Struthio camelus: one gene and its partners. The protein of the gene in region 1 interacts with the protein of each later gene in a pairwise test. Links are inferred from orthologs where the notes say so. Each region holds a gene or a part of one and is shown on either strand. Other genes may lie near its edges.

Evidence for each region.
Region 2: the proteins of AP1M1 (region 1) and AP2B1 interact in binary tests that used the Homo sapiens proteins (3 or more experiments, as listed by UniProt). The link is inferred for Struthio camelus from reciprocal best matches to the Homo sapiens genes AP1M1 and AP2B1.
Region 3: the proteins of AP1M1 (region 1) and ZBTB43 interact in binary tests that used the Homo sapiens proteins (3 or more experiments, as listed by UniProt). The two-hybrid records come from large-scale screens. The link is inferred for Struthio camelus from reciprocal best matches to the Homo sapiens genes AP1M1 and ZBTB43.

Annotation. Positions count from the first base shown.
Region 1 is NC_090967.1:5,185,862-5,193,390, reverse strand, and holds the start of AP1M1 (AP-1 complex subunit mu-1), read right to left. Parts: upstream 3,023-7,529; 5' UTR 2,920-3,022; coding exon 2,878-2,919; intron 2,257-2,877; coding exon 2,100-2,256; intron 1,725-2,099; coding exon 1,657-1,724; intron 1,168-1,656; coding exon 1,037-1,167; intron 806-1,036; coding exon 658-805; intron 254-657; coding exon 127-253; intron 1-126. Other genes in the region: protein FAM32A, read right to left, coding at 3,910-3,978, 4,166-4,219, 4,366-4,504, 4,579-4,655; CIB3 (calcium and integrin-binding family member 3), read left to right, coding at 5,882-5,932, 6,240-6,274. UniProt on the Homo sapiens protein: Subunit of clathrin-associated adaptor protein complex 1 that plays a role in protein sorting in the trans-Golgi network (TGN) and endosomes.
Region 2 is NC_090957.1:14,847,914-14,855,144, reverse strand, and holds the start of AP2B1 (AP-2 complex subunit beta), read left to right. Parts: upstream 1-4,283; 5' UTR 4,284-4,365; intron 4,366-4,952; coding exon of another isoform or gene 4,953-5,494; intron 5,495-6,410; coding exon of another isoform or gene 6,411-6,536; exon of another isoform or gene 6,537-6,844; intron 6,845-6,871; exon of another isoform or gene 6,872-7,006; intron 7,007-7,231. Other genes in the region: PEX12 (peroxisome assembly protein 12), read right to left, coding at 3,884-4,283, 4,953-5,494, 6,411-6,536. UniProt on the Homo sapiens protein: Component of the adaptor protein complex 2 (AP-2). Adaptor protein complexes function in protein transport via transport vesicles in different membrane traffic pathways.
Region 3 is NC_090961.1:395,246-402,073, forward strand, and holds the start of ZBTB43 (zinc finger and BTB domain-containing protein 43), read right to left. Parts: upstream 3,005-6,828; 5' UTR 2,896-3,004; intron 1-2,895. UniProt on the Homo sapiens protein: May be involved in transcriptional regulation.

The DNA of each region.
Region 1 (7,529 bases):
TACACTGGCAAAGGGAGCAGTTTATCTTCTAAGAACAAATCCTTTCACCTGACCCTCAAGCATTTCAAAGTCTAAGAATTCAGACAACATTCTCGATGATTACAGAGGTATCATTGAAATACTCACGGCCTGTATTATCAAAGAGAACTTTGTCATTTAAACCAAGGCGAAGCTCTGGCATTCCTGAGAGAAAGACTCTCATTTTAATGGATCCAACAATCTCACTCCGTAATACATTTCCATTGGCACTGACCTGAGGAGCAAGGAAAAGAAAGGTCAGAATGCCCTGATGTCATATGTCACGAGATCAAACAACACTCCGCCAGCCATCCCAATTTTCTTGGATTTCTTTCTCCTGAGAAGTCATGGAGTAGAATCAGGGAGGTGATGAGGACAGATGGAAGGAGAAGGAGCAAAGAACATGTCAGAGGCTAGCCTCAGACTGGTCAGAAACAAGATACATCCAAGTAAAGTACTATTCATCTACTGGGTGCTTTTATGCATACTCAGTCTTAAGACACACAGATTGTTTTAAGCATCACAGTGCACCCAGCCACAGTTAGTTTGACTCTCTATTGTACCCTTGCAGGCCTTGTAAGCTCTTTATAACACTTACTACTACAACTCTCAGTAAAAGTTCAAGAAAAAGGTACCCACCAGAAGGTTAACAGATTCTATAACATCCAGGAACACCTCATTTTTCCTATATTTTATCCCTTCTGATCTCCATGAAACAGCATTAGTAACAGTGGCAGGTGGACGGGGAGCTCCAGTTTCAAGTTTGTGACCTTCCTGAGTGATATACCTTTACAAACACATAATGGAGATAGAAAACATGAAAATTACACTTTACAGCTTTTGAAGCATCTTTAACGTCAGATTTACATAAAAGAAGTTTGAAGCTACAAACCTAAATCTTAGGAAGTATTTGATTTTTTAGCGAATAGATCAAGCCAAAACATTGGTTTGTATGTTGCAGAATACTCAAAGCTACCTAAGAAATCTGTCACTGAAAGTGAGGCAGACTGTTACTTACTCTTGTAAAATTTTACTATCAGTGGTTTGTGGATAACCAAAATCCATAAGTTCATCTAATAACTCATAAATAATAACAAAATTATCCCGAATGCTCTCTTCTTCCAGCTCCTTAAAATATTCAGAAAAAACCTGAAACAACAGTCAGAGAAAGGAAGTGAAGGAGGAGGGTATTAATTGAGGAACAACAGCATATTCACAATGCATACTTGCTAAAACACACCTCATTTAAAAGGGAGCTACAGCATCTTAGGCATACCTCTGACTATTATGAAAAATACTTATTCCAGTGAAAGTATTTTTCACGCCAAGTACAGATAAACCAAACATAAAACCTGCATTTTATGACACTATGCACGCACCAAATTCCTAATCCTCCTCTGTGTTCTCAGGTCTTACGCGACTACTCACAACATTGTGTCACATCCTTTGCCTACTCAGCTACCCGTTCTATTATTAGCCATTAGAAAGACATTTCTATAATATAACCAAAAACAAATTAAAAGTGCTATTACCACAGTGCTCTTTTTAAAAGAGTGAAAGTTCTACGCACTTTTATTTAGATCAGATTTAGATTTAATTGAAAATAGGCAGAAGTTAGTTTTAAAATTTCATACTCACCTGAACTACTTTATACAGAAATGAAAACACCAGTGATACACAAGCATTTTTCTTAGAAGTTGCAACAACTGATAAAGGATGTTCAGGAATATGCATTCAAAATTACCATTCGAAAGATTTTTTTACCAAGTGCATTTTCAAAGTTATGGTATGGCAATTACAGTTGGCCAAAACATTAAGATTTAGTTAACAGTATCTCTCGTCACGTTAGATGAGAAGATTCAGACTTAGTTTATTAGAGTAAAATTAATATAAATACTTTCCTATGCACTGTGCTACTAGTGCACACTACACTATCTAAGCCATAAAGCCATTTTATTTAATAAAGTCTTCCTTATACAACTTCACCTATTCTCTAGCTTTGCATGTAGATATAAACTGTGAAAATAACATATCAGCAATTAACATCAGCGTATGTAAATGACTTGCAATATAAAGGATACGATATAGGTTGTTATGTTTAATCCACATAAAACGAACTCCTCCGTGTGCTAGAATAGGAGAAAGCGTCCCCTCTTCTTCCTTCTCCATAAGGATTGGCATAAAATGCTCCACCTCTGACATGTCCACATCGCCGCGGTAATTTCGACAGATGAGAACCTACACAAAGAACAACAAAGCCTTTAATCTTTTTCTCTTTCTACAGGTGATGCTACCATCCAGAAGCAACACAAACGAATCCTCGGAAAGCCTCTTTAAGTAACTTGAGAGACATCAGTTGGTTTCACCCTAGCCACTCTGCAGACTATACGTGCAAGGTACAACTCCAAAATACTTTGTGGACTACAGTGCAAGCACTAGTTTTCCATTGAGAAGTCATGCATTAATGTTTTCTAGACTCACTCTCCCCCTATGGCAGCACACACCCTGGTAACAGCTTTTAAGATGGGGAAAGCACCTAAATCGGAGGAGATAAACGACCTCCAGTTACAGCAGAGCGTGATTACCCCAGACGGGATGCCCAGGAGCCCAGCTGGCAGGTGGGACAGCCGCAAACCTCCCCCCCCCCAGCGTCTCTAACGGCCCAGGACAGACCCAAGCCACCACTGCCCCCCTCGCAGCCCAGCAGTGAAACCGGCGCTGAGGGGCCCGCGGCCCCCACAGGCCCCAGCAGCAGCCGGGCCGAGGCCGGCGGCGCCCCGCAGGCCCCCTCAGCGGCGCGGGGAAGGACCCCGCAGGCCTTCCCACCCCGTCTAACCCTCGGCTGGCCCCGGGCCTCACCTTCCCCTTGAGGTCCAGCACGTAGACGGCGCTGGCCGACATCGCGCCGCCGCCGCCCGGGCCGCCCCGTCTCCGGACCGACCGACCGACTTCCGCCTCCCGCGCCGGCACTTCCGGCAGGAAGCGGCGCAACGAGGCCCGGCCGCCGCGAGGAGGGATACGAGCGCAGCGCCCGGCCGCCGCGGCGGAAGGACACCGCGCTGCCCGCGCGTCGCCTAAATAGGGCCCTGGGGGTGGCTGGGTTCAGACCTCTCTGGAAATGGGTCCGCCGCTCAGTAGATGGCCCCGGGGGTTGGGTTGGGCAGGAGTAACACCCAGGTGAGGGGCTGCAGGCCACGGGGTGGAAGCTGGTGGCCAACCCAGCCGTGGCAGGCCAACCTCGTTTTTAAGAGGCAGGTTGGAGTTTTGAACATCATCCCTCGGAAGAGAGTCGGAATTGTGCACAAAAGATAGAAATCGCAGGAAAAAGGCCCCATGCAAACACCTGTTTTATCACTGTGCTGCCCTTACCTCTTTGTACAGGTCACCAAACACCAAAAAAAAAAAAAAAAAAAGCATTTTAATGAGAAGTTACATCAGAGTTACAAGAGGATTTTAAAATACAGCAGAACCCACCCTGAGCTCTGAAAGAACTCTAGGTGCAAACAACTGATACCATTCCTATAATTTACAAGCAAAGCTAAGTGAAGAGACTGTCCGAGATTCTTCCGTTCCAAGAAGGAGAACAGTTAGTATCAAACTAATATAGAAACATTTTCCAGCTGGCTCCTACCAATTGCTTTTGGACTCAGCCATGCTTCGAGCTCTAAGAAAACAGCCCACTGCACCTATATAAACCAGAGCTTTCACTAGCGAAGAGGAGGCTTAGTTGACTACTTGGTGTAAAAGACAAAAACAGTGAAATAAGACAGCGCAAGGTCACAAACGTTCAGAAGATATATTAAACATTCAATACCGAGAATACACGGATTTACATAGCGACCCCTGTTCGATACAAACACAACTCCAAAGCCTTGTAAGAAAACCGCCCCTTCACTTCGTCCAGCTGACTTTAGGAATGTCGTAGTGCTCCGTCAGAGTATCCAAGTGCCTGTTAAAGTCCTAGGGGAGAGGAAGAGAGCGAAAACATGAAACGTCTGATGATTTCGCTAACGCCGAGGCGCGCCAGGGCCCCGCTGCCTCCCACCTTGGGGGCTTCACAGAGGCAAAAGGGCTCCTCCGGGCCCGCGCCATCCTCTGTGCTGACAAACACACGCTGGTCGCAGTAAGGAGTGAATTTAGTTCTCACCTCCACTCGCTGTTTATGGGTTTTAGACGCTTTCTTCAGGATCCTCTCCATTTGCTGTGGGGGGGGGGGGACACAGGAGAGGCGGTTACTTCCCCGCGCTCGTCGCCCCCTCAGGGGCTGCCTCGGGGGGCCCGTTTGGGCCTTTCAAGCCCCAGCCCGAGCCGCCGGGCCGGATTTAACCCCGGCCCGGGTCGCCCTACCCGCTTCTCCTGCATCTTCTCGTAGGCCACTTGCGCCGGCGTCCGCTTGTCCAGGCCGCGCTTCTTCTCCTCCTCCTGCTTCTTGCTGCTCACGATCTGCTCCAGGATCTGGCCCTTCGCCTTCGCCTTCTTCTTCTTCCTGCGGGCACAAGGCGGTCAGCGCCGAGCCTCCCCCCAACCCCGGCCCCCTCCTCCTCCTCCGCCGCCCCTCACCGCTTGCCGGCGCCCAGGGCGCCGCCGCTGCCCTTCAGCCGCAGCGGCCCGCGCTGCACCGCCTCGTAGTCCGCCATGGCCCGCGCAGCGCCGCCGCCGCCGCTCCCGCACTGCGGCGCCCCCTGGCGGCCGCCGCAACGTTGCCCCGGCAACGGCCGCGCGGGAGGCCGGGCGCCAGGAGCGACTCCCCCTTTTTCTGTGAGGAGAAAACCGTTAGGAGCCGCCCCGAGGGCGCCGCGCAGAAGCGCCGCTGAGGAAACCTCCTCCCGCCGCCGCCTATTTTCCACACCCAACGGACCGATTCTGAATAATTTTTACTGATTTCAAGGCGGGGCGGTGAGTGAGAGGCCGGCGTTTCTCCTCCCCCGAGGCGGGAGGATAGTTTTGCCTTTCCGGGGTCTCCACCTCACAGATGCATCCTCCAAACCAGGCGTCAGGGCTTCGTTTGCTGCTAAAGCTGCCAATTTACTGGATGAACGGCCGAGAAGGAAGGTTTTACGCCTTGCCCCCTGAACATGTATTATTATGCAGCCTGCTACGTGCCATAGAAATGCAGTCAGTTATTCCCTCGACCCTTAAGTTTCATATTTCATGTAACCTTTAACATCACATATCGGTTTTTATAGACAAATCATATATTGACATGTATTTTAGTGTAAAAACCACATATGTCTATATGTATGCATGCCACACTAATAACCATTAAATAGTGATAATGTATATTACTAGATAATGCAGAATAGAGTGATTGGGCTTTATAGATACTATCTCCAGTACAAACTGCCATGTGCTGTCTGTGGGCAGTGTACAGTAAATATTATAGAGAAAATTCAGAAAGAAAGGACGGGGGTGGGGGGGTTACTTTCATTATTACTTACTTCTAGTATTTAATGCTAATTCTTAGAGAAGACAGACATTCCAAACAGTTTTTAGGTCTTTTAAAATATTTGAAAGAATGAAAAAAAAACAAAAAAAAGCAATCTACAAGGTCTACTTACCATTTCAAAGACACGACCAAGAAGCTATTAGTTGTTTGTCCAAATACTGTAATATGAGTCTTTGTTGTGCACACAGGAGACAGGTGAGTGATGCTGGGTAAGAGCCTTAAGTAGCCAAACTAAAGATTAGATGAAATGCTCCTATTATGATTCTTTGTAGCCCATGCAATAGGGAAGCTGGTTACTTGATCCTCTGCTACCTGAACCTCATTGTTGCAGCTTTTAATGTCTGAATATCCAGACCTCCTATAAAGGTAACTTTGAGGAAAGAATGATGGGACAAGAACCAGCCTTCAGAGCCAGAAATGGGCAACAAGCAAACCATTTTCACTCCAGAGCAACTGGATGCATATCAGGTATAAAACAATGCCAAACTAAATGGCTATTTAGACAGCACATTGAATAAGGATGTGTTTTTAAAACAATCTTTTCAAAAATTGTTAAGTGTGGGTATTGTTACATCAAAGGTTTAAGTAACATAGTTTAATTTTGCCTCAAGAGGAAGAAGGGTTATGAAATAATCATTATTATAATGCCAAGAAAAGAACATTAATGCTTGGCCACTTGCATTACAATATGAGTGTTTAAGTCACTGTAGTGGAAAAGTTTGGGCCAATGCATTTAAAACTATCATTGCATATTATCTTTTCTCTTATTTCACAGGACTGCACATTCTTTACAAGGAAAGAAATTCTGAGGTGAGTCTTGTGTGTGCGTTTTGTGTGTAAGGTACAGAGATTGCTATAAAGGCAGGCTACATATGAGGTGGTTTTTAAAATATTTTAAAAATGTATTTATGCAAAATTAATGTGATAGAGGACAGAACAACTCCACATACCTTTGGACAATGTGACCCTCACTGTTGCTTTTTTATATACAGAAAGTACATCATTTGTCATGAACTGAGCCAGATCTCTAAATTTTTATTAAGGTACCAGTCTCTCTGTGTGAAATAAATGTAACAATTTATGTTTTACTGTACGCCTTCAGTGACATTCATGTTCCCTCACTTTGTTCCATAACAAATGCTTCAAAGTATGCTGTTATAGTGTGGGATACTTTGCCTATTTTATAAAATCAGTAATGTCTATATCAAATTTTATTCAGATTTTTCATCTCTTGATGTAAATAATTAGTCCTGGAAAACTGTTCTGCTTTGATACTGTAAGGTGCACTTTTCCCAAAGCCTTCATGGGCCTCATGGACCAATCCACTTAATATCTGTCCAAAGGAAGTGATAAAGACAGGTTCCCTACTTTGTTGATGTGGAATTGAGTCTTCACTGCAAACTTGAACTTGTTCTCCTCTTGTTGTAAATTGTACTTTCACAGATAATAACACACATAATAGCAAGGTTGCATTGCCTTTGCTAACCATTGGGCAAATTAACGGAAAGATAAAGGCAAAGTATCTGCATCTCTCAAGAGATCATTCCACGTTACTTGCTAATTTCTCTGAAAGACAGAGCACACGTGGCAATTTTATATGGAACGCATCCCTGATTAGAACCTCAGTACAAAATGACAAATGATTCTGTAATATGTGAAATGTAAAGCTGTCTGCCTTTCCGTGTAGTAAATAGAGGCCAGAACCATAACTGTATCATGAATAAGACATTTATTATTGATAGGGATCCCTTTTAACATTCTGTGCTATTGTTTTGTTGACAACAGCTGTGAACAGGATCCTTAGCCTAGTACAAGAACTGAAGAAAATAGCGTGGTGAAAAAGTAAAAAACTCATTCAAATGATTATGTGCATACTTTCTGTCTCCTGAACCTAGTTCTACAAAAAAAAAAAAAAAAAAAACACAGAAAAATACTTGGGGTGGGTGAAAGTATCCTAGGGTTGGTCGCAGATTCAAGAGCTCAATCTCTCTGGCTTTAGGCATCCAGATTTTTTTTTTCTTATGTTCACACCAAATCTTTCATGCTGCAGTGTAAACCTATTATT
Region 2 (7,231 bases), on another chromosome or scaffold:
TTGGTAGGGCAGAGGATGTTAAAATTCGGGTATTGGAAAAAATGCAGTAATCAAGCACTCCCCAAAAGTCTTCACAGGAGAGGGTATTTATTACATGTTATGCACTGGGGTTTCCTGGGAGAAAGTTACTGGGAACACTTTCCCTTTATGCCCTAGGAGGACCAGGCTAGGCAGGAGTCACACAGAGCCCGATATGTGAGCTAGAGCCCAGCATGATTCACATCAGCTGTTTCACAATGATTTGTCTGTTGTATGCAAGGTGTTTTTTTCTTTAAGCTGTGTTATAGACTCAGATTTTTAGTTGTGCATGAGTAGTACAATATACAGCTATGTTTCCGTAACTTCTAAAATCTAAATGCTGTGAAACAAAATGGATTCTCTAGCTCTAGGAAGTGATTTGTATCTCGGAAAGCACAGGAACAATTTCACTAAAGAAAATTTGCAGATAGTATAATGAGTTAGGTTGAATTTTGATTCTTTTGCCTTGATGAACTCTCCAAATATCTTTAGTATTAGAGTCAGTGTTATGCTTTCAAATGGCTGCTTGTGATGGCATGTGACTCCCTAACCTGGAAAGGTATCTAGAAACAAAAGCACCCAGACTCTGTGGGCTGATGCAGAGGGCATTTTTAATTTTGGGGGTTTTGTTCTGGTTGTTTTTTCCAAAAGCCATCAGTATCACCTGGATGTTTGACTTTAGATAGTTTGCATTTAGTGAGGGGTGGGACTAATCGAAACACATGGAGTTGTGTGGGATAAGGTGCAGCCCTTTCACCAGCCACAAAGACTGGGCTAATAAGCAGGTGCAGAAGAAGATATGGAGGTATTCTCTAATCCTGTTCTCATTTTCTTCTAGGTCTCGATGACAGCTTTACATTCACCTCTCACTTGTGTGGAGAGGGAAGCTTCTATGGGGGAGGTGTATGTTTTATGTTGGGTTTTGTTCTTATCAAGCTAGGAGAATAGATATGGTGGTTATCTCTTAACAAGAGAGGCTATGCAGTTTCCGTTAAGGAAGTAGGGAAAGCAACTCAATTGTTAATGCACTCATGTTTTGAACAGTGACCGAGTTGTAATGAAGCTAAGCCGCATTCAAACATTTTTTAAAAAAAACACTGGAAAAATCAAGTTATGACAGTGAGGTATTAGGTAACTCCAGTGCCACTGTTAATGTTGAAGTAATTGTATTAAGCAACAGATCAAAGCTTCCTGAGCGTATATATGATACATGAGTGTATAGCGCTCCCAATTTGTATGTAAATGTGAAGGCTGGTGTAATAAAAGAGTATTTATTTCCTTAACAAGTCTTTCTTTGTATGTCTTGATACCATCACGGCTTTAACAGTACTATTGCAGTGTACAAAGTAGAAAAAGGGGATGTTTGAGTAATGTGCATTGGTTTTGTAGCTTTGTTTAGAGCAGCCAACTTAATGTAACAGGTATTTGGCTACTAAGCACAGGCCAGTTAGCAAAAGCAGTCAGATCCAAACTGGTATCCTGCAGCCACCTGCAGGAACACTAATAAAATCTGCCCGGTAACTGCCAAGTGTGTCACCATTATGGACTTAATGCCTATTAGTCAGATAGGCTTTAAAGAGCAATTTAACATTCAAAAGAATAATTACAGCTGTCCTAAACTGTGAAGCTTAGATGTGGGTGGTTCTGAGCAGGTCCCAGGTGGAGTCGGCCAAATCTGTTTGGCAGGAACTCAGCATTGTACAGCATGGGGGAGGAGAGAGATGGAGTGGAAGGCAGCCAGAGCCGGACAGGAGGCCATCCAGTGGCCACTCTGGAGAGGGAAATAGTTATTAACTCTGAGATCACTCGTTACCTGCTTGCCCAGTTTCTCACTGAGCAAGAGAGAGAGAATCTGGAAGGTATAGAAAGGACCGAAGGAAAACAAACCTATCTTAAAACTGAATAGTCAGTCAAATCCTGCAGCTCTTATTAAATGAGCGGTTGCTCTGGAGTCAATGGGACAGTCAGTGCCATGTCTGTATAATCAGACTGGTTATTTTAAGACCATGTAGCAACAGGGGAGCATCTTGGATAGTGGCTTTTCATTAGAGATGATAATCTCAGTGTATGAAGCAAAACTGATGTAGCAAGTGATGTGAGTTAATATGAAGCCCAAAGCCAGCTATATTAAAAGTGATTTAAAATCTCAGAAAATCTTGCATTCAATGTGATTTCTTTTCCAATAAGCTGTGTGTAAGTACTCTTAACAGCTTTCTAAAGGAAGAGAGGTATCTCTTTTCTATCAATCCCAGAACTACTGGAGGTAAGAAAAAACGTGACAGTTTTTGTTGTTATCCCATAGCGGCAGAGTTAGAAGGGGCTGGCAGTTGTATAGAAATAATAAGCATTGGGGACTTATCTCATTTGTTAGAAAAGTTGTGTGGTGTGTGTTTGTTTGTGTGTTTTTTCCCAGAGCACCTTTGGGAGAATGCAAATTACTGTATTTTTCCAGCCTATTCAATACACTCGTTATCTTGCTCACAGATGAGGGACAATTTTATTGATTTTTTTTTTTCTGAAGCAGGGCTAAAATGGGGGGGGGGAAATGAGATCATTGGTTTTATGGATTAAATGTTAGAGCATATCTCTTAATCTGGAAAGACAGTATACTCTGTGCAGCAAACTCTGCTTCATATTCTATAGGCAATGTCACCGTGATGTCTGGAGCAGATAACTGCTGCTCCCTCGAGATGAGTCAAGAAAATCAACCTTCTGTCAATAAAAATCATGTGTCTGATCAGTCAGTGGTCTGAAGCCAGGACCACCCATAACATCATGCACATTTCCTTCTATTCCCTGTTCAATGTGCTACATGATCAGTCTAGATTGGGACTGGAATAACAGCAATGTAATACTAAATTCAAACACAGATATTACAGCTTTCCAGCCTGCAAAATACTAATCTTTTATCTATGACCATCATCTGCAAAGATAAGAGCAGCTTTAGTCTAGTCTCCTTTGTGCAAATAAAGATCCTAGAGGAGCAAACTTTCTTTTTTCAAACATTAGAAAAGAAACAAATGCAGTTCATTTAGTTCAAATGGGTTCTAAATCAAGAAAGAATTTTGCTTTGTAAAAGCAGATAACAACAGATTTGAGGACACATCTAACAAAAAAAAAAAAACAGTTCACAATTGCTGCTTTAATCTAGTTTGTCTTCCTCCCTGGTAGTCTTGTATCTGTGTTTGTACACATTATACATATCATCTCTTGTTCCTTTAAAGAGTCAAAGCCTTAATTTAGAACTGTTGATGGGAATTAGAGGTGTAATGTTATCATTAATTCAGAGGCGAGTAGCCTGAAAATGCATGGAGGCACTTAAGAATACCATGGTCAGAAAAGAGGTCAAAGTCTGTCTCTACCTCTTTAAGAAGCGCTAGTGCCAGAACCTGCCCCAGGCAGTACTAGAGTCTGTGAAGCGGCTAAGGGTGGAATAGCTCGCCTGGACAATTTTTGTAGCTCTCCAATTTGCTGGCCATACCCTCGAGCAGGATTTTTGCCAGCAGTGCTCTTTGGTTCTCACATCTGCATTCTTATTATCCAAATCAATGTCTCCTCCCATTCAGTTTGCCTTTGAAGGTGTTTCTATGCTGACTGACAGATCGTGACTGTCCTACCCTTCTGGAGCTTTGTCATGGGATGTTTGAATGGCTAAAAAACAAGAGGGCGAGCCTTATCGAAGTTTACCAAGGCAGCAAAAGTCTAATCTGTAGGACTCAAAGGAGCTTTAGAGATCCACTTGCAAGTTGTATTGGTCGATGGTCTTCTCGGGGACATCAGAAAGGGCAAATTCAGGCTCGTTGCTACCCAGTGGCCCTGCCACTCAGTCTCAGATGCATCTCTGTGAAAGCACAGAGCCGGCCTTTCAGCTCTCAGGGGAATACAGTTTGACAAGGTGCTGTAGCTCTGTGGCATAGCCTGTGACTGGGCATCGTTGGTGAGTCTTCACGTAATTATACACGCAGCGGTAGCAAAATACATAGCCAGACGTGGACAGGACCGTGGCATTGGCTCGAATTTTGCGGCACAGCGGGCACATGGTCTTCAGTTTAGGTAAGAGAGCTGAGTCCGCCCCATGGTCAAGGTGTACTGGTGGTGGAGGAGTAGGGAGCGCTGTCAGAGATTTGATCGTCTCTTGGTTTTCCGAGGAGTACCACCACTCCAGGAACTGAAGGAAGAATACGCTGACAGACAGCCCAGTGGACAGGGAGAAGGCAATGCCACCCAAAGCTTTCTTCATTGCTGACTGCACTTGTGCCTTAATGCTGTGGCAGGGAGAGAAGGAAAGGAGAAATTAGCAGTACTGCACATTTGTCCCTCTGCAAACCAAGGCTAAAAAGGTTTGGGGTAAGTTACTGCTCTATACAGCTTCTTAATGCTAAATGATTTTGTTAACATGTTCCATGTTTGTAATGAGACATCTGCTAGGGTGTTGCTCTCAGATTCTTTGTGTTTTAAGAAGAGCATAGCATCTCTAGGAAAATGTCAAGTCCTGTTTTATTCAGAGGTCTAAATCAGAAGAGTTTGGGTTGAGGGGACCTGGATCACAGAACATTTCACTCATGGACCATCATTTTACAGGACATTAAATGTGACCATGACTAGTTGTGGCTAAGTTTCAGTCCTTTTAGCAAAATGGGTACAGTCTGCTTCCCTTAATAGAAAAGGGCAGCTAAAGATTGAATGGAACGGAGGCTGGAGTGCCAAAAAAGCATTCTGATTTTATTAGCACAAACTCCTGTGAAGCTAATGCCTCTTACTTTGTTCCTTATTTACACTTACTATCATGACATTCCCTTTTGGAGCAGGGTTTTGCCACATGTAAACTTCATCTTTCTGGAGAACAAGACAGCTTAACCTAGGGGCGTTGCCTCTACGTCAGCCCACCCACAGAACCTCCTAGCAAGTAGCTGCTAAGCAGAGTTCTAATGTACCTGTGTGTCCGACTCGAGGCGGCTACTGCAGATTTCTTCTCCAAGGCCTGGATATCATCTGCAGTCAGTCTCACCAGGCGAACGCCAGCCAGCTGCAGCATGGGTGAATGATGCTGAGCTTTCCCGAGGATATAGCACAGTTGCTGGATAAGAAACCAGCCCTCCCAGGCCATGTTTACAAATGGATAGGCAGCTAGAAAGGCTCTGTAAAAGCGCTTCCAGGACGATGAGGGAGGGTGGATGGAGTACTCATCCTCTTCCCTCAGACTGGACACCAGTTTCTCTAGCTTTCCTTTCAGGTAAGGAACAAGAACAAGCAAAAGGAGAGACTTCCAGTGCTGCTTCTTTGGCAGGCCAGCACTGGCCAGCGATTGTTTGCAGTCTCCTATTGCTATCCTCTTTAAGCCATAGAAGTTTTCAGAAAAAGAGGCACTGCACCTGGCCAGATACTGCTGCTGGAGCAGTAAATCCAGGAGGATGTAGATCTCATCAAACCAACGCCAGAGGGAGCCATATCGGCCAGGATTCGACTCAGCCAGCACCTATTGAAAGAAACACAAAATGGGGAAGGAGCTGATGGTGCAGACAGATGCTAAATTACAGTAACTGTAAACTATGCCTGCAGTTCATAAAGTGAGCTGAATGGGTCAAAACTGCTATGCTTGCTCACAGCTGTGGCCAAATGTGAATCCTGGTGATGAAAAGCTCAGCTGAGAGAGCGGTGTTCAAACTCTCGACGTTCTCTCTGTGCAGCAGTTTCCCCTCAAAGCATTCACTGTCAAGTATTCACTGTCTACATTACCTGTCCTCGCTAAAGGCATGCCTCCCTGCGTATGAATACAGTTGAGCTCTCTTGAGTCAACGGGACACAAGCCAACTCTGTTTTCCATCTTGATTCTGGCTTGCTTGAATCAAGGGCAGAGGGAGCTTGCATCAGTCTGCACCCTCTGTGCAGGCGCAGACTGCTTGTCCTGCACTTCAGCTACCGTCTTGGACAGGCCATGTAACCCTTCTGCTGAGTTTCCTCTAGGGACCTTCCCCACGACACAACACTGTTGAGAAAGGCGGTTAACGCTTGCCAGGCAGTCTGAAGACAGCTTCCAGTAAGCAGTTTCTGAAGAGCACAAGGGAAATGAGAAACATAATACCGAAGGGACTTGTTTTTTTGGAGAGAGGCTCCTGTAGACTCACAGGGAGGGCGCCCAGCAGCCCCTCACATCGCCTCCGACGCCAGGACCCATGCGCCGCAATAGGGCAACAGGTCTGCTTACGCGCGGGAGCAGCACGCTGCCCAGTAATGAACCCTTCCAGCCACGCACCAAACCCACCACCGCCAACATCTCCTGTCCTCTGGGTGAAGCGTGCGTCGCCCACCGTTTCATGGAGAACAGCCATTTCACAGAAAAGAGCCGTTTCATGGAAAGTGGGCCCAGGGAACGGGAGGCGCCGGGCCCTTACCTTGGCCAGGTGCTGCAGGGCCGGCTTCACGGCGGCCATCAGGCTGTCCTGGGCCACCGCCTCGAAGATGGAGGGCCGGTCGTCGCCGGCCGGGGTGGCCGTGAGGTGGGCCCCGAGCTCGGCCATGGCGCCGCCCCCGCCGGCAGGGGGAGCCGGCGGCCCCCACGCCCTCAACGCGGCGGCGGAGCGCGGCGGCCTCGGGGCTCTCCCCCGGAAGTGGGGCGCGGCGGCGCTCTGTCTCCGCCTCGCGCCCCTCTATGGTGGCAGGGGCGCGGCCGCTCTAGGCGGGGGGAGGGTTGATTCTCGCTCCTCGCGAGTCCTCCCGGCCGCTCCGCTCCGCTCCGCTTCCGCTTCCGCCGCGGCCGCCCCCACAGCCGGTGTGTCCGTCGCCGCCCGCCGCCGTGAGTGGGGCGGGGGCGCCGGGGCACTGGGAGGTGCTGGGGGCACTGGGAGGGGTCGGCAGTACTGGGAGGGGGAAGTGGGAGGTGGTAGGGGATCCTGGGAGGGGGCACTGGGATGGGATGGGGGGGGTACTGGGGTGGAGACTCTACTGGGCCGCTGGAGGGGAGCACTGGGAGGACTGGGAAGGGATAGGGGTGAGTACTGGGAGGGGACCCTGGGGGACTAGGATGAGGGGTGTGTGCTGGGGTGGGGACTGGGTGGGGGGGGTCAGTGCTGGGGGGGACTGGGCAGGGGTGGGGGCGAGATCTGGGGGCCTGGGAGGAGGCTGGGAAAGTGAGTGCTGGAACTGGGAGGACTGGGGGGAATGGGCAGGGGTTGGGGGGCAAATCCTGGAGAATTAGGCAAGGGAGAAGTGCAGG
Region 3 (6,828 bases), on another chromosome or scaffold:
TGAAACTTTAGCAGTAGAGTTAACTGCAGGATGTCCTAGAGTTTGTAAAGGTGTATGAAAGATTCTGCATTTCAACTGCCAAACAAATAATCTCATTAATCCCCCAATAAAGACTGACTGTACTCTTATGAAATGTTCCACCTTAAACAAAGTTTTCAAAAGTCATCATATTGATTCATTCAACAACAAAGGCGGCATAGAGTCCTAGTGAGAATGAGGCTTATGACTCTTCCAGGGGTATTTCCCTGTCATTTTATTAGATGAAAGTTGAAAGAGCAACATCCTGTGCAGTTGCAACACTACAATCCAATCCTTTCTTTCTGAGCTTTTTCAGATGTTATTACAAGATTCCTTAATTTAACATTTTAAATTATGTAAACAGGAAAGCGATACCTGAGCTGTACAGAATTTTTTGCATATGTACCTTGTATATGTGTGACAATGCAACAAAATTAGAGGCTAGAAGCTCAGCTAATAGCTCAGATTTTAATGTTTGTATTCCCACATGATCCAGATGTCTTACCACAAAGTTGATGTCATCTTAAGTAATAAAACTGTTCAAAATTTCTGCCTTAAATTTGAAGTTTAAGATAAATTTACATGTTTTTAAACATGAGAAATAATGACCAGTCATGAAAGACCAAGATTAACTCCCTGAATAAGTTAAATTTGTGCAATTTTTCAACTACATCATGTTTAAATTGAATACAATAGAACTCTGAAAGCCATGAAATAACAAGCAGCTTTCCCCTGTCAAATTCTGTTTCTCATCAGTAGGGAAGTGTCAAAATTTTAATAGATAGGGCTGTGCACCTTAGAGACAATATTTAGGAAGCTAGCAGACAGCACACACAGAATTTTAAGCACTTTTTGAATATGGTGCAAAAATAGACACTGAATTACAAACAGTTGCAGGACTCCAACTGAAGTAGTTCTATGGAGAAATGAAATGTAGAAAACATGATTATGAATCCTCGCTACAGATAACGTGCAAAATAACCACAGTACTTTCTACACAGTTACATAACTGTCAATAGAAAAATGTGCTGACTGGTGCACTGTGTTAAGATGCCAGAATTTGGCACAAATGCATGGCTGCTAAGAAGACGACAGCAATGTTTGCATACAAAATATAGATGGCTCAGGAGCGATTATGCACTTTGAAATTTACTGTTTTACCAGTTAGTTTAACTTTTCATTTTCAACACTCCTCAGTCTTTCCTCAAAGCATCAAGCTAGAAACGATTATGCACATCCTTGAACAAACTGCTTGAGATGCATTCCCAAAAGTATCTGAAAAATCTCAACATGAAGGTGCAAAATTGAAATCAGCATATTTTCCCCCTTTTAAATTAAAAGGGAAAAGAGTCTAGGGACAGTAAGCAATTCACCAGAAGTAAAGTATGACAAACTGTCATACCTCAGGTGCAAATGTGGAATTTGTACTGAATATTACTATACTTATAATTTCGCTATTTTTTAGCTAGTCTGAGAACAATTTGTCTGATGGGGAACATAAGCTGTTCTGCAATCTGAATAAGTCTTGATTTAGTAAATCTAACAGAATATTAGAAATAGCAGCTTTTAAATGACTTTCTTGGAAAGGAAGCTCTCTGAAGCATTTGCAGTTAAACTGATCTTCTCAAAATCATGACCTATGTAATAGCAATAAAGAGTATTTGCACTTTGAAATTTACTGTTTTACCAGTTAGTTTAATTTTTCATTTTCAACACTCCTCAGTCTTTCCTCAAAGCATCAGTCCTTCTATATACCTGTAATACCAACCCACTTCAAGAAACCAGATCAGCTGCTTATATTTATCACTGAGTAACAGAATACTGTCAGCACTAGTGTTACATATTTTTTCCACTTTGCTTAAAACAAGTGGACAAAATTATTGAAGTACATTTCTTCAACATAATAAATCGTTATCTAATACAATGATCATTACAAAATATTTTTTTAAAAGCAGCATTTATATGCAGATGTGTAAATTCTTTATCTCCTTTCAGAATATTCCCAGACATAAGCATCTATTCTACAATGCTTGCCTACAACAAAGATACCCTTTTATGATACATTCAATTGAAATTTAAATAGGCATGCCTGCACACCTAACAATTGCTAGCCTGAACTGCCATCCTTCAAAAAGGACACAGCTTAGTCCAAGAAGCAAATATAGCTTGGAAAACATATTTATTCACCATTGAAACAATTCCATTAGGGAGCAGAGCTGATATTATATATACCGAACTAACATGAAAAGCAAAGCCATCTAAACACACATAAGATATTTTTAACTATACATTTCAAGAATATTTGGGTTTTTCCTTCTGCAGAGGTTTTACTTCCTCCTTTTACAACCTGTTCTGTTTCTGCTTTTTCTCTACCCACGTCATAGAGAGCAAAGTTTTTCTATTTTAACCCACAACAAGTTTTTAGTCTCCAGGCTGGAACGCTCAGATGAAACACGCAAAGCAAACGTTACTGGCTTAAAAACAAAGTCACTTTCAAAAGCGCAGCACGCGGTTCCTCGAGGCCGTCGTACATAAAGCCTCCTGAAAGACGCGATTGTTTTACCCCAGCCGCGGCAGCCGCCCGCGGCTCATCCGCACCAGCGGCGGCGGGACCGGCCTCCGCCGGCTCCGCAGGCCCCGCGGCCGCCGACGGCCCCGCCCCGCCCGGCCCGGCCCCCGCCGCCGCCGCCGCCGCCGCCGCCGCCGTCCCCGCGCCGCGCGGTTCCCGGGCCCGGCGACGGCGGCGGGGCGGGGCCGCGCCGGGGCCGCGCTCGGGGCTCGCCGGGGGGCGGGGGCGGCCAGGCCTCGCGCGCCGCCCCAGAGCGGGCCCGCGGAGCCGGGGCGGCGGCAGCGCGGCCCCCGGCGGCGACCTCTCACCTGGGGGCCTCAGCGTCCCTCGCATAGCGGGTGCGGCCCGGCTCCAGGCGCGGCGCCACCGCCGCAGCTTCCCCGCCGCCGCCGCCGCCGCCACCACCACCGCCGCCGCTGCCCGGCCCACACCGGAAACCGCCTCCCTGCCAGCGCTTCCGCATCCGGGTCCCGCGGCGGGCGGCCCCGCCCCTTCCTGCCCGAGCCCGAGCCCAGGGGCAGCCGGGAAGAGGCGGCGGGGGGCAGCGGAGCCCGGCGGCGGCGGCGGCCGCGGTGGGAGGGGCTCGGGGAGCAGCGGAGCCCGGCGGCGGCGGCGGCGGCGGCGGCGGGGGGCAGCGGAGCCCGGCGGCGGCGGCGGGGGGCTGGGGGCTCGGGGCTCAGGGGGCAGCGGAGCCCGGCGGCGGTTGCGGCGGCGGGGGGGCTCGGGGGGCAGCGGAGCCCGGCGGCGGTTGCGGCGGCGGCGGGGGGCTGGGGGCTCGGGGGGCAGCGGAGCCCGGCGGCGGCGGCGGCGGCGGGAGGGGCTCGGGGGGCAGCGGAGCCCGGCGGCGGGAGGGGCTCGGGGGGCGGCGGAGCCCGGCGGCGGCGGGGGGGCTGGGGGCTCGGGGGGCAGCGGAGCCCGGCGGCGGCGGCGGCGGCGGGAGGGGCTCGGGGGGCAGCGGAGCCCGGCGGCGGTTGCGGCGGCGGCGGGGGGCTGGGGGCTCGGGGGGCGGCGGAGCCCGGCGGCGGCGGGGGGGCTGGGGGCTGGGGGCTGGGGGCTCGGGGGGCAGCGGAGCCCGGCGGCGGCGGCGGTGCCTCGGAGGCCGCGGGGAGGGCGCCGCCGAGGAGCGAGTGGCCGCGGGCAGCGCTGGAGCCTCGTCAGCGGCTGGAAAGGGCGGCTGCGGGGCGGGAGCGCGGGGCGGGAGCGCGGGGCGGGAGCGCTGGCCCGCGGCAGCAGCAGGGCCCGCAGCGCCGGTCGTTCGCTGCCTAAGGCGTTTCACGGAGCAGGTGCGGTCTAACGCCTTGAGAACGCACAGAGAGGCGATCGCACTGGAGCAGCACAGTGACGTTCCCCAGTCCAGCATCTTTTTCTTTATATTGGCAAGTTAATGGGTTTCAGGGGAAAGGGTAACAAATTTCTAGTAGGAAATTTTGTAAGAATTTGTACTCAAGAAAAGTTTGTTTTTGCCACAGTATTTGTGGTCTGAGCATGTGCTGAGGCATTATATCTATGGCCAAAAATCATGCCTTTATTTTAAGTTATTACAGCTTCTTCCTGCAATGCTTAAAGTACTTTATGTAATGTTCTTCTGCGGGAGCTACATCTATATGTAAGGAAGGCCTGAATCCCGTGAAGTCCTTTCCCTGCGTTCTAAATACCTGACACACACGTTCTTCCAATCAATTTCTCTGAATGAGTTTGGCACTCTCCTTTGTGTTTTCCTGATTGTGTAGAGCCAGGAATCATTCAGCGAGGACTCCGCGTGTAGAAATGCAGCACCAGATGAATATACAACAAGCACTGTTGTAATGAAATACATGTTAATAAATTATTCTATTTGTGTAAAAAGAGATTGATGTTTCTGTATATCCAGATGGGATCCCACTTACGCGTTGGCAGAGGGGAAATGACTTTTTGGAATAGCCCTCCATCCACTGATATGTGTGAAATACATAAAAATGGACAGATGGGATAAATCTTTGTATCCACTTTCAGGTTTTTCCCTTACTTTCATAAACTGTCTAGATTTTCGATATGAAATTTAGAGCAAGATTATGTTTAGGATTCTTTTAATGTTGAGAATAACTGAATTAGGAAACAGATGGTTTAGGAGTTGCTCCCAAAGCATAGCGATGTTGCTATACTGGCCATGAGAACAAAGTCTTAGAGCTGAATCAAGCTTCAAGCCTCTAACAAGGTAGGTAAAAGCTTTAAAAATGGTCTGAGAGAGTTGTGCCAGAAGCTGCTCTGTTTGTTCTGAATCCCTTGGATGAAACCAGCAGACATCCCTGATACCATCTCCCAAGGTTGAGTTTTGTCCAACTGGTAGATAAAGAGAAGGGGGTGGGGGGAAGCACCTGAGCTAGAAGGCAAATGCTATAGCAGAACATGCAAGAGTTAAGCCAAAATAAGAGTAATGACGTGTTTTGCATTTAGCTCTGCAGATGTCTGTGGGAGTGTTGTGTCAGCAGCACCATAAACGTGTGTAAGAGGTGTAAGGGAAGCACGTGTTGCATTGTTTGCCCAGTGACGGCACTCCTGGGTTCTCTGAGCAGGCTGTTAACACGCTTATCAGTGTCATTAGTTTAAAGGTGCAATTGCTTTTGCATCTTGGGAAAATTGGGGTTTAATCCAACATTGGGTGTGTCATTAAGTGGTATAGTGAAGGAAGTAGTAAGTCAAAGTGGTAGACCAGGCAAAGAGGTAACTTCTGTCATCAGTTTCAGTGACTTCATCTCAGAGTTTTAATAAGTAAGGGAAAGCGGATTCACAGAGCTTTATCCTAAGTAATAGGATGAGGAAAAAATACTTTCTGATACAGGATGGGAAGGAGCTATGGTTTAATACTGAGAATTAAACATTCCATTTCATTGTTGACAGGCAATTTTTTTGTTTTAACTGAAGTTTAAGCACAAATGTGCCGTCCTAGATCATTCTTCTCCGAACTTAAGCATGTAGTGAATAATGGATACATTCTCTTTGGAATCTTTGTACAAAGTTTGTGTTTAGTGATGGAAGCAATATAAAGGGCCATAATAACTCCCATCCTCCAATAATACTGCTGATTTTGTCTTGGTATTAAGGTGTATTATTATATAAATCTAGATAAGAATTGTTCAGTCTATGCTGTCAGAATTGAGAGCTGGGTTTAGTGATGGAAAGCCAGCATTTAATTCCTACCAGCTGTTTTAAACTAGATTTTAAAGAATGCCCATACAATGTACTGTGTTTAATTTCTCATATTACCTAAAGTATATCTACTGAATTTAGTCCTGGATGAAAACAGGCTTTAAATGAAACTAATCGGACGGATTACTTTCTGCAGTTCATTGGTAGCTGTATGTGATTCAGAAATTTAATTTAATGCAAAACTGAACAGAGGAAAACAAAGAAATAGCTGGAAACTCACCAACATCACATGTACTATACTTAAAGAGATGCATTTGCCACTCAGGGGTTGTGCTCATAATTGCTTTAACATTGATTTTCTTTTTACAGTTTGATTTGGGAGTTGATGTATTTTCCAATATAAAGTCAGTAAGAATAACTTTATAACCACAAAATTTCCCTGAAGATTCTCCTTTTTCTTTATTTATTCCACTGATGTTCTCCATTCCAAAGTTTATCAGTGCTGCTGTAGGCACTATCAGGAGGGGATAACCAGAGAGTGGTAGCTGGTTTTCCCCAAGGAGCTGATTTTATTGTCCTAGGACGGAACAGCCAGGGCCCTGCTGTTGTACTCATGCTAAAGACAGGTACCTGGATCAGCCAAACGACAAGAAATACTCTACAGTCAGACCGCTCAATTGGCCATGCAACAAGCACATACATGAACATTCCAAAAATAAGATGAGATTCCACAAGAACAATTTATAGGCTGAAAATAGATCAAAGACTTCCTTTGAAGCCTCCAAACAAGCCTGTGGCATTCAGGATAGTGTTTTTGTGCCAGCACGTTAAGGGAGGTTGTAACTGTACAGCTAGTAGGATTGTATCTTAACTTTAGAAAATTGACTTATTTCTATAAGGAATCAAGCTTCCAAACAAGTTCATACAGTTTTTAACAGTATCTTAGCTAAGAGACAACTGATTTCTAGGCATTTTGGGGAAGACAGACTACTGAAACTCTGTGGCTCTTGCTCTAAGAAAAGAAAAAAAGTTGTTCAAGTATAGCTACTGCTTTTGCTAGGTGGTATGGCATTTTTCGTACAGTTCATTTGTCAAGGATGCACCAAAACAGCTCT